Arabidopsis thaliana: one gene and its partner. The protein of the gene in region 2 interacts with the protein of the main gene of each other region in a pairwise test. Each region holds a gene or a part of one and is shown on either strand. Other genes may lie near its edges.

Region 1 (7,008 bases), on a different chromosome or scaffold from region 2:
CCACTCATCGGTGGTCTTGGCGGGATCGGTAAGTATGGTGGCATAGGCGGTGCAGCTGGAATCGGTGGATTTCATAGTATAGGCGGTGTTGGCGGTCTAGGCGGTGTCGGAGGAGGTGTTGGCGGTCTAGGCGGTGTTGGAGGGGGTGTTGGTGGTCTAGGTGGCGTTGGCGGTCTAGGTGGAGCTGGTTTAGGCGGTGTAGGTGGTGTTGGCGGTGGTATTGGTAAAGCCGGTGGTATTGGCGGTTTAGGTGGTCTAGGCGGAGCCGGAGGTGGTTTAGGTGGAGTTGGTGGTCTCGGTAAGGCTGGTGGTATTGGTGTTGGTGGTGGTATCGGTGGTGGACACGGCGTGGTCGGTGGTGTGATCGATCCACATCCTTAATAGAGAGTATTTGTTGGTTAGGGTTTTAATTAAGGAATAATTAATTAGTTTCGATGTTATTGTTGGTCTTTTAATTCTGTGATCATTAGGGTGACTTTTGATCTATTTTCTAGTTTGGGCTTTTGTAACGTTTGCTTTGATTTCGGCCGTGGTGTTATGAAATGTGCGACTCTCTATGTTTGAATCGTTTTGGTTTAGGAGGTTCTCTTCTTCCATACTTTTGCATGTTCAAAGACAAATTTTTAATTAAGAGGAATTATCAAGGTTTCCGACGAGATATTTTTTGAAAATGAAATTGGTTTGAACTTGTAATGATATTTAAAATATGAAAACATCACTCAAAAATGGATGGAGTACAAACTTTTTCCACTATATATACATTACATGTAAAAAGTGTATAGATTTCGTTTTTGTTGCACTGTCTAACTCTAAATAAGTCGGATATCAAAGTTAGTATATAGTAAAAAAAAAAAAAAGTTAGTATATATATCCAAGTGGTAAAACCCGTAAAATTAACATATATATATATATATATATATATATATATATGAGTTTGGTCAAGGGTTTTGAAAGATCTCGACTAAGAGAAGACATATGAGTTTTGGTTCAAAAAGTCCTTCGATAATCATTAGAAACGAATTAATATATAGTAAAATTGAGTAAAAATGTTAATCTATTAACCAAAGGTTAACTATATAGAAGATTAATATATTATAAAACTAACCAAAACATTGGATATTGGTATATCCGGATTATTTTCCTCGTTGATGATCGCAATATTGCATTCAGCCATCTACTACACACTTCCTCGTTGATGATCACAATAATGCATTCAGCCATCTACTACACACTGACACATATGATTCGTAATTTCGTATGAAATGTTTGAACTCATACTTTTAATTTACATATTTAAGATGGACGTAACAATGAACATTTGTTCAGAACTTGAGATTGTACTACCCCTATAAATAACGCCTATTTACTAATTACTATGCATGGTTCATCATGGTTGGAAATTTCTTTGCAAATGATCTAGTGTATATTAATCCAAAATATATAGGAAAAATACATTAATTGTGGGAGGAAGACAGCAAGAATCCACAAAAAGGAAGCACTAATAAATGACGTAATAATTGCGTTGGGATGAGAGGGACACAAATTAAAGAAGATAGGATTTGCATGTCAAACACTTGTTGTCCCATTTCATGCATCGTCCTCTCTATTGTCTATTTCGCTGTCACAACCTCTAAATTTACATCTCATGCAATTTATTACGACGTATACATACACCCTTCAAATTTTTATTCGTTTGCATTTGTATATATATACATATATATTAGCTAGTAAAATTAATCACAATTTATAATTTTGTAATCATTAAAAATATTGTAGTAAAAAAAGCAAAACCCAAAAAAAATAGAAAAGAAAACTGAACTGGTTGGTGTTTGTGGTATTTTTTTTAATAATTTTGTTAAGGATTTGATATGGGTTTCAATTTTAATGGTGGACCGAATTGAAAATCATCGAGTGAAAATTGAGCTACTTACAAAGCCCAATTAGATCCAACGGGCCTCAAAATATCTTTTATATTCCATTTTTTTTAATTTGTTTTTGTTTAATAAATCAAAAATTGAAAAGCGAAAGGCAGAGAAAATTTCCAATATAGGCGAAATGTAAAGAGCGGGAAGCTAAAGCCTAGAGAGAGATTCTCACACTGCCAAAACAAAATTTCCCTGTAGAGAGAGAGAGAAAGAGTGAGTGATGGAGAAGAATGCGATGAAGTTACTCGAAGAGATCAAATCTTCTGATGTAAGCTTCTCTTTGATTTCCACCTTTGATTTGATTTTCTAGGTTTCTGTATATTTTTTCCAACTAAAATCTTCTGGTGGATTTTATCGCTTCCGGTAGTCATTTCTACGAATCCTCTCTGTTAAATCGAGAAATTTCTTCTGATTGCTTTGGGTTTTGTGATGTTTCTTATCAATTTCCCTTCCGATTAAGTTTCTGCAGCTTAATGTATATATAGAGTGATTAGGATTCAGTTGAGTTCTGTAGCTCATGGATCTAACGAGCTTCGTTTTCTTCATTGTTCGCTCAACAGCTTATCGAGAATCGGGCTCAATTACTCACGCGGCTCAGTCAGTTAGATGTTGAAGAGAATTCTGATTTGCCTTCTTTTGTGGAGAGCCTAACTGTATCCCCAGTCTTTTCATCAGTTTTGCTGATTTTCAATATCTTCAGTTATACTATGTTTAAAATTGAGATGTGGATATCCATTATGTGACGGTTGGATTCAGGATAATGAAGTGACGAACTTATATCTGCTTATTTGCATGTTTCACTTGGATTCATATATGCTTTAAGTGGTTTGTTTGTTTGTTTCCAAGTATTCCTTGACAGCTGTATAGACACTCTGGGAAGATTTCACATGTCTTGACGTTTCCCTGTGTTTGTTGAACAAGGCGATTCTGCCTGTGGCTTCAAAATACCTCGCTTTGGATCGGCCTGATTGCTCACACTACTTTCTTGCTTTTGCTATTAAGGTACAATGTTTTCATTTTTATTGCTTACTGCTCAACCTCAATTTTGGAGGGGTGTTGTATTATCTTTTCTTATTCCACTTCTTCTAGGTAAGCCAATGGTGTGCCAAACATTTAAACATGTCTGTTATGTCCATGGAGGAGTCTCAAGAGGAAGAGCATTCCAACATTTTCTTTCAGGTTATTTGATGCTTTTTGGTTCTGGAAGTAGGATTCTGTCGCAGCTTATGGTTTCGAAGGGACTGAGTTATTCAATCAATGTTATGCAGCTTCTTTTGGATTATCTTCGTTTTTCTGCCTCAAGCTTTACTGCTATTGGAAAAACTTGTTTCATGACTGATGATGCCTCAGCTGTTACAGTTCATAAGTTTGTTTCAGAGCAGCTCAATTTGACAAAGGAGTTGATAATGAATTCCAAGGTATCTTTGAAAATCATCTTTATCTTTCGCTAGTAACTACACGTACCATATCATGAAACATTTTTAACATTTGTTTTGTTGAAATTACTACTGTAGGTTGAGAATCAACTTGAGATTATTGTTTTGCCTTGTTGTCATCTGTTAATAACTTTCACCTTTCTATGAGACAGAAAGTCGAATCCTTTTCCTCGGAGATTTTTAAGGCTGTGCAAGTGGTAATTGATTCTACTGTTCGTCTGTGCAAAGAATACTCTCAAACAGTGAATCGTGAGGTAAGTGAAATGAAGACGAGTGGACATGTAGGAAAGGCAAGGATGGAGGAAGGCAACGCTGTGGGTAATTTGGTGAGCATGATTACGCTGGGAGTTAAATCTCTGAGTGAATTGGGTATGCTTGCTGCAAGAGATGGTGGAAATCTTGTGGCCATTCTTAATACATCTTGGAAGGGTGTGATTACATTGCTTCAACTAGACAAGCAGACATTGGTATCTAAGGTAGATGTAGGAGAAATTATCTTAAAGCTAATATCACTGATCAAGGACTCCCTGAGATTTGCTGCTGAGGCTTGGTCTTGCTCGGTGAAGGAAAACATATCTGCAACGGAAGCCAGAAGGGTCTTTCTTCCTGTGAAATTTTATCTTATCAATGCTGTTAAAGTTGTGGCGCTGTTTCCAAGCCAGGCGTCTATGGTGTCCAAGGATATAGCACTATGCATCTTGATGATCTCTGCTTTCAAAGTTTCACTGAGCCAACAAACTCATGGAAAATCCGCAAGTGAAGTAATGACTGATCTTCTGGAGAAAACAACTGTAGATCTTCTAGGTGCACTGTTAAATGCAGCTGAACTAACACAGGAATTCAGGCTCACACTTCTTGATTCATTGTTCGTTGATGAATTCTCAAACCAAATCTGTAAGAAGCAGAGCCATGATTCTCACACAAAAACATCATTGGTGGATATCTTGTCTTTATCTGTTGAATCTGCGACAAGTGCTAGAGATTTGCTCCTGGCCCGAGTTGTATTGTTCCAGTCTGTCATGAGGTATTCTTTCGAGCTTGACAAAGATGCAAAGCTTGCAATCACCACAAAGCTGCAATGGCTTCTCGACATATTAGCAGACAAAGAGGTTTACTCTTCAGTTCTTTCCTCTCAGCTACCAATGGCAGATGGTTCTGGGAAGATAGTAATCTGGGAATCAATGTATTCAGCTCTGCTTCTGTCTCTCAAAACCCTTATGATCATACTCTCTTCAACTCCTGCCTGGGAAGAGCTTGAAACATTCCTACTTCAGAATCTCTTGCATCCTCACTTCTTGTGTTGGCAGATAGTCATGGAACTCTGGTGCTTCTGGGTTCGTCATGCCACTGACGATTTGGTGGTCGATATGATTAATCAACTTTGTACATTCATTATGTCAATGCCATCATCAGAAACACCTCTTTGTCCAGATTCCGTTCTCAGAAGAACTACAAAGTCCATCTGCTTTCTTCTTACCCATAGCCCCAAATCTTTAACAGTTCAAGTTTACAAACATATTTCTACTGAGAGCAGATCTGACCATGCACCTGATGTATATCTAGCATTGCTGTTAGACGGGTTTCCACTGAATTTTCTTCCAGACAGAATAAAAAACGACGCAAAGAGACAGATATTTGCAGATTTCTTCAACTTCATCGAGAAATTCGATGAGAAACCGTCAAATTCCTCCAGATACACTCTGCTTGGAGCTCCAGTTTTCACAGTATCTGCTTGCCTTCGGATACTGTAAGTAATGATAATATATCTATTCTTGAGACTTCTCTGGGGATTTTATTACACGAGATAGCAAAAGTCAGATAATAGTAACTGAAAATAGTGTGAGCGAAAGGGTACATTTTCAATTTTTGTGTTGTGGATATTATTGACTGTTGTTGTTTTTCTTCCGTGTAGAAAGATGAGCATATCAGAGATTGATGCCAAAACTCTGAACTTTGTCGTCGCTCTCATTCAAAAGTACAGAAACTCCAAAGATGAAACGACGAAGGAACGTTACAGTGAGATTCTCAGCGAAACATTATCTATCATCTCAAGAAGCGAACAGCTATACACTTGCCAAGAGATGGATAATGTCATAACAGAGCTTCAAAAGCTATTCAATTCAGAAACTAATCATCATCATAATCATCTTCGTAAGTCCAAGCCAAACCTTGCTCTCTTCTTGTCAGGACTCAGCAAATACGAGATGTCTGAAACCAAAAAGTGTCCAAAGAGCATTGCGGTTTGGGAACTCTACCATATGCTTCTCAGGAAACGCCACTGGGCTTTGGTACACCACGCGGTTACTGCGTTTGGATACTTCTGTGCACGTACAAGCTGTAATCAGCTATGGAGATTCGTACCTGAAGACGCGGCTCTAGCCTTCGATATAGCTTCTGGAAAAGAAGCGAAAACAGAGCGGTTCATGTCGGAATTAAAGATGTTTTTGGAGAAAGAACAAGCGCTTCTTTCAATCACACCTTCAGAAGAAGAACTGGAGTTACTTTCGAAAGAAGGCACCGAGGTTAAGGCAACAGTGCAGAAGCTTCTAGAAGGAAGAAGCCAGAGGTCAATGGAAGTAGAGAAACGACCGAACAAGAAAAGGAAACTTCCAGAAGGAATTTGCAGAGGAATGGAGTTATTGCAGAATGGAGTGAAGAGGATTAACGAGGGTTTAAACGAATTGAGGTCAGATGAAAATGAGAGTGAAGAGTTTCAAAAGAGTTTATCGAATCAGTTTTCGTGTCTTGAAGATTTGGTCTCTCATTTGTTAAGCCTCACCGCAGCTTCGGACTAAAGTATCTTCAGTGGCTATCTATCACACACTGTTAAAAGACTTTTATGCTAACAGATGTTTGGGATTAAAGATGTTCTTTAAGAAAGAACAAAGCGCTTCTCTCAAATACACTTTCACAAGAGGAACTTGACAAACTTTCCTCTTATAACATGATAAAAAGTTGAAATAGTAGCGGATTTACCTCTTACCACCGAAATTTTTGAACAAACGAGGTTAAGTTGTCGACAACGGACTATAAGATTTTTGGGGCCAAAGGCTTAATTATTTTCTCAAGGTAACATTAAAATATTTTAAAAACATTATTGTAAAAATATTAATAAAATTGGGACTTCTTTGTAATATATTTTGCTTAATTTCATCAGAAAATGTGGGGCCAAAGCCCATGTTTTTTTGGACGATCAATTTCGCATAATCCATTAAGATTTAATATTATTATTTTATTTTTTTTGTCTGGGTCAAAACCACACTAAATTCTCATTTTACTGATTTGGATGTTTGTTTGGTCACATGACTTTTACACTGATTTCTTTGTTTGTTTGGTCAATAGTCAATGGGATAGTTACTATGTGAAGAAACCGTCGAGCCCTTGGAATACTATAAAATCAACTCCAAGAGCAACCTGAAAAGCCACATTCATAAATACAAACATCAAAATGGAAAAAGTTTCTATTGTTTGCTTCTTCTTCTTTCTTTTATTTGGTTCGGGTTATGGGGGCCTCCCACCGTTCTGGCGCGCTACGGTTGTCACGATGACAAACTTGATTGGCGGTCCACCTCTTACCATACATTGCAAATCCAAGCAAGACGATCTAGGAATTCACGTGGTGCCTTTCAAGCAAGAGTACCACTTCA
Region 2 (5,774 bases):
TTGGTGTGCGTGACTGCCCGATGATTTATTCTTGTACAGGGAGTTTCTTCATTGACGAGGTGAACAAAGTCGCCGTGATTTTCGGGCAACCGTTGAAACGCGACAAAGTTTTCATCATTGGAGAGGCTGGACAAGTCCGAGATGTTGATCTCGGAGAACCTGCCCACCAAGATAGTTGGCTATATGTGTGTCCTTATGTTCCAAGTTTAGTGAAAATCAAGCAACCTCCAGGATGCAAAAGGAGAAGACAAAGCAGTTCAGAAAACCGTCGATATAAGCGAAACATGATGAGACTTGTCGAACTTGAAAAGTATCATATTGCCATGGAACCCAAAAGAGGAGACAAAACAATATGAGAGTTTTGCAGCAATTATGAAATCGATTGATGTGCAGGAAAAAACTGGCAAAGTGAGAAAACGAGATGATTAAAATTATTCATCCCTTTCATTTCTATTTTACGTTACTTAGATGAATAAAAAAGAGAAATTTAAAGAGTTTTTTCATCCACTAAAATAGAGATGAATAAGTTGGAGAGGAATAACACATTATTCAGTGCAACTGATTAATCAATGATCATAATGAACTTTTACTTGTTACTTGTTATAAAGCCATTATTGTCTTTTTACAAACGAACCAGAGTTGTTTTGTTTGCAGCTTTATCAGATACATAGATTGGTTTTGTAAGCCGAATCAAGTAATGATCGTCTTATTTGGTAAACAAGAAACTAAGAATAAAAAGACTTAATTAAAACGTCTGATTCGATGCAGAAACAAGCAGCAAGTTAAGAACAGACATAATTCGTGATTATGACATATAAAAGAGTTCGCTCCTCTAATCCTTCGCGTCAGCAATGCCTCCTTGAGTAATCTGGAAACTGTGATTTCTTCAGTTAAGGAAAAAAATGAAGTCATTGCATTATATGAAATAATCAAAAACAAAGCAAGTGTGTGTGTGTGGATTTGGTTAAAAGGATATGGCTTCAGCTTCAGCGAGATTCGGAGCATCGTAGACTTTGCAGACACGTGTATCGCCTTTGCCTTTCCTGAACAAGAGCCTGATGGTGGCTGCGTGAGCTAGTACATGACCACCTGCTGGCTTTTTTGGGTCTGATATGAACATTCCACCACCTGGGTCAGCTATGACTGCAAACCACCAAATGAAACAGATGATACTTGCTAAGTTAGTGCAACCAAGAAACAAAAAAAGAATTGATGCTTTATCTCATTATATCAAACTAGTGTAAAGTAAACCTTGGTTAGTCATGTAGACAGCAACGTTGAACTCCTCTGCAATTTTGATTAGCCTGGAAAGCATCTGAGCTAGTTTTTGCTGCAACACAGAAACTGGGACTATTGAGCAAAGCCAGATTGTGCCAATGATAATGTAAGTAATGTTGTGGGAGGCAAGTTTAACCTGGCGGTCTGCGAGTTCTCCTCTTCCAGTGAAATCCACTCGGAATAAAGCAATGATCGAGTCAACAATCTGGAAACAAGGTCAGAAAACTCAGCTAATTTAACTCATATTTGAATGGATAACTAAACTAAAATTATCAGACATGTTTTACTTACCAGAATCCTAAATGGTTCCTCAGACATTTTTGCAGCAAGGCCAAGAAGCAAGTTGTACTGATGCTCATAGGTATAAGCACGAGCATAAATGATCTGTTATATCAAGATGAATAAGATTTTTGAATGTCAGTCACAGTCCTGAGAGTAAGTAAAGATGTGAGGTTAATAATGCTTACATTGTCAAGCACAGCTCCTGGATCCATTCCAAATCTTTCAGCAATTGGGACAATCCTATCAGGACGGCTACAAAATTTAGGGGTTAAGGAAAAATCATGGAATATAGAAACAATCTAATGAAGACACAAGATCTGGTCAGAAGATTTGTTATAAGATATTAAGGATACAAGGTTCCCTCTGTGTCAATGTATGCCACTTTTCCATTCCCTCCTTTCATGTTTGTAGGTAGCTGTAATACATCAATACAGAAAATGAATACCAATGACATTGAGAGACAGAGTACCTCAATGGTTTATATGCTGAAAGAAAGTAAAATCTCATCTCATGCCTCTGAAATGTAAACAAGACAACATATATTTCATATTGAGACTGTAGGAAAGAAACCAACCTGCGTAGTGACACAAAGGGTATGTGCTAATTGGGTTTTCCCAGACCTGAAGTGAAATTAAACTCTATAAGAATACAAGCTATTAACAGGAAACTTATAGAGCTTGGCTCAGCTGTTTCTCACCTAAATTCCCCAAAAGCCTCTGTGATGGCTGAGGTTTCAATTCCACCTAGCAAGAAATGTGAAATAATTAAACCAGAACTTAAGTAGTGTGATCAAGATGGCAAAAATCTAAAGCAAAACTTAGCATACCTCCTAAGAGATCATCGAGAGCTTGACACCCTGTAGTGATTTTTACAACTGATTTCCTCTGTAAACAATTAAAAAACAACTTGTAAGTTTCAATATCTAATATGAAATGTTGAATAGGATATCAAAATCTAATAGTTCTGTTAGTGGGATCAAGCAACAATGAGTCTAACCTTTATAAGAGCATCACTTCCAGTCATATATCCAAAGTTCTGAAGGAGAAATGGTTTGACAATTAAAATGACGCAAATGCAGAAAGTAACACTGATATAGCAACAACAGATGGAAACGTTAAACTTACCACAATTTTCTCAGCAGCTTCACAGATTTTGTCAACTTTGGCCTCAGATAAACCTTTGATTCCAGTAAGGTTCTGCATCAAACATAAGTTTAAACAATCGACTCATGCAACCAACATCTACATAGTATAAACCCAATGAGCAAAGCTAAATAAGCTGGTTAATACCTTCTTGGTATGCATCATGAGACCATTGCAGGTATGGATCCCAGCTTCTTGTAGCTTTTTCACATCTCCTGCGTTTATACCTTGTGCGATCACTGACACAAGCAAAAATAAAAGTCCCGAGATCAAATCAGCTAGAGATTTTAGCCAGATACAGAAATCAAACAACTATGTACACTAATATACACTCGAATTCCACAAACAGTAAACGAAATGGACCATAAACTATTCGTTACCAAGGAGAACCATGTTCAGAAATCAATATCGATCCTAGATTCATACTTAAATTCGAAATCTAACAGAGATTGCGAGAACATTCCTCAAATTAGATGAACGATTCTAGATCTGATTTCATAAGACCCAGCGATTAAGCAACAACGAGGTTTAGATAAACAAAAGTGGGCGAAATTAGAAGAGATAAACACACAGAGACGATTCCAAAACAGATGATGAAGATTTGAAACGAAAAAGTGAAGAATCGTAAAAGTTGAAAACGAATTCAAATCTTACATTTGTCAATCATCTCAAATAGATCTTCGTCTTCATCATTTTCTTCACGCTCAACGAGCTGCATCTGGCTCGTTTCTTCAGCTCTATGAATCCGAAACAACACAAACAGATCAGGATCATCGGAAAACAAAATAAAAACGAGAAGAAGCGAGTCAGGTACACAAAACTTAAGACAAAGCTTAAACCAAAACGATGAATGGAGAAGAAGAAGAAGAATCGTAGTAGAGAGAAAGAGAGAGATCAATCACTTACTTAAGAGAAGCCATCATTTTCTCGCTCTAAGAGTCTCTAAGCTTGGAAGAGTGAGAGAGATAGAATTTTGAAATTCGAAATTTGAAAATCTTTGCTCGATTTGCTTCGAGGGTTCAAGGTTTTTAATGGCGGGTTACGGAATTGAAAGCGTGATTCTAATTCCGTTGATTTGAATTTGGGTTCCGCAACTGAATTTGTTTTCGTTTGTGTGCTCTTCTTTGTTATACATGACTTTGTTTGATGGCTGCGATAATGCCACGTCATAGTTATCATCCGTCTATCGACGGTCAATAGAAGGAATCTAGGTGAAAAAAAGAGAATATTACACTCTTAAACACTTTTTTAAAACTATTTCTGTGTTTAGGCACTTTCAAAAGATTAGGCACTTTTTTATGTTTTTTTACTAAAATACCCTCTTAACTAAAATATTATCTTAACCCACGTTTTCTCTCTTTCTCTCTCTCTCTTCATCTCTCTCTTTCTCTCTCTCTCTCTCTTCATCTCTCTCTCTCTCTTCACCTCTCTCTCTCTTCATCTTTGTAAAAAATGAGAAGAAACTTCTTCTTCTTCAACAATGGCGGTTTGATTTGATTTTTGCTCTCTCTCATGTGTCAAACTCGTTTCATCTACGTAGCATCGAGATTTCAGTTAATCGAATCTCCTGTTATCATGGACATGTTATATAAAATGGATATAGATCAGTAAAAAGGTTTCCGAATGGATATATTTAAATGGATTCGTTATTATGGACACCAAAAAATTGTTTGTTGATTTTTTTTTCAGTTTGCAGAGACCTCCACCTTCAAAACCTTATGGACATGGAACTTTGGTTTCTTTACAAAACACGGTTAATCGAATCTCCTATTATTATTGACATGGTATATAGAATGGATACGGATCAGTAGAAAGGTTTCTGAATGGATATATTTAAATGGATTTGTTATTATGGATACCAAAAAATTATTTGTAGCAAATCAACCGCATATAGCTTGTTTTTAGGATGTTAGACATGCTTCTCCAATTCTTCATCTTTTACTCTTAACATGTAAGACCAAAAGATTTACAAATCTCACCATATCAATCCATAATATACAATCCATGATGCGTCATCCATAATATGTCATCCATGATTCATCATCCATAATGTGCCATCCATAATTTGCCATCCATAATGGACATCACCAATAACAAACGCCGTAAGAGCTACAAACACATCCTTAGCCACCAATGAAGATTTACCAAACACAAATAATTCCAATGAACAAGATTTCAACAAGAACACAAATTCTTTTTAAGAAAACACAAATAACCCTAGTCATACAGAATTACTCGCCAAATCAATGAGAACACAAATGCCTTGTAATAAATCACAAATAACCCTAATCATCTAGAATTAGTCGCCAAATCTTACTTAAATTAGATCCATCTTGATATCTCTTCTAATCTATGTTGTATGCTTAGTTGTTTCCTATTGATTCCCAACTTGATTAAAAACGAAATCACCAAACATAGCCAAAGAATTCGCCAGAACTCCATGACACTCTTCCGTAGCCAAAGAATCGTTCATCATAAACAAACAATCAAATTTTTTTAATCCATGGAAAGAAATCACAAACCTGTCCAACACAAGGAGATCCTCCTTCGTCTAGAGTAACCATAGGAAAAACCTCCATTTACTACTATTATCATGTTCATGAGGAAAGTTGTGTGGATTAAAGAACTTCACAGAGAATAATCGATTAATTTCATGAGAAACGATTTTCAACATCTCTCTGCTTCGTTTTTAAACTACTATGGATTTATGAAAAAACGATCTTCAGGAAGGAGAAAGGGAGAAACGATTGTTTTTTTAGAGAGAGAGATTTAGTTCTAGAGACGAAGAGAAATACCTTTTTCTAATCAGATTTTAACATCAAAAAATTAATCCATTTATTGTCTTTAATCTCAGCCATAGATCTTAATTTTTATTTTTCAATCTAATGGTCTATATTAATAACTACGTATCTAAATTCTTTTATTTTTTTAATTGTTTGGTTAAGATATATATTTAGTTATTGTTTTCGATTGTTTAGTTAAGAGGTATAAAAGTCAAGTTTTCCTTCAAAAAGAAGGAAAAGTGCCTCTAACTTGGAAAGTGTCTATATTGTCTAAACTTACGTTTAAAGT

The links.
Region 1: the proteins of DMC1 (region 2) and AT1G04650 interact in a two-hybrid assay, tested with the Arabidopsis thaliana proteins (one study listed by BioGRID).

The regions. Positions count from the first base shown.
Region 1 is NC_003070.9:1,294,041-1,301,048, reverse strand, and holds AT1G04650 (holliday junction resolvase), read left to right. Parts: upstream 1-2,025; 5' UTR 2,026-2,145; coding exon 2,146-2,193; intron 2,194-2,485; coding exon 2,486-2,578; intron 2,579-2,792; coding exon 2,793-2,927; intron 2,928-2,965; exon of another isoform or gene 2,966-3,014; coding exon 3,015-3,104; intron 3,105-3,193; coding exon 3,194-3,343; intron 3,344-3,513; coding exon 3,514-5,108; intron 5,109-5,273; coding exon 5,274-6,156; 3' UTR 6,157-6,422; downstream 6,423-7,008. Other genes in the region: AT1G04660 (glycine-rich protein), read left to right, coding at 1-381; AT1G04645 (Plant self-incompatibility protein S1 family), read left to right, coding at 6,810-7,008.
Region 2 is NC_003074.8:8,097,116-8,102,889, forward strand, and holds DMC1 (DNA repair (Rad51) family protein), read right to left. Parts: upstream 3,818-5,774; 5' UTR 3,626-3,817; coding exon 3,609-3,625; intron 3,440-3,608; coding exon 3,357-3,439; intron 2,942-3,356; coding exon 2,850-2,941; intron 2,757-2,849; coding exon 2,685-2,756; intron 2,596-2,684; coding exon 2,557-2,595; intron 2,445-2,556; coding exon 2,387-2,444; intron 2,304-2,386; coding exon 2,258-2,303; intron 2,181-2,257; coding exon 2,135-2,180; intron 1,976-2,134; coding exon 1,914-1,975; intron 1,813-1,913; coding exon 1,746-1,812; intron 1,663-1,745; coding exon 1,570-1,662; intron 1,484-1,569; coding exon 1,415-1,483; intron 1,331-1,414; coding exon 1,252-1,330; intron 1,144-1,251; coding exon 977-1,143; coding exon of another isoform or gene 965-976; exon of another isoform or gene 924-964; intron 878-923; coding exon 833-877; 3' UTR 563-832; downstream 1-562. Other genes in the region: AT3G22870 (F-box and associated interaction domains-containing protein), read left to right, coding at 1-356. UniProt on the Arabidopsis thaliana protein: May participate in meiotic recombination, specifically in homologous strand assimilation, which is required for the resolution of meiotic double-strand breaks. Mediates interhomolog recombination during meiosis.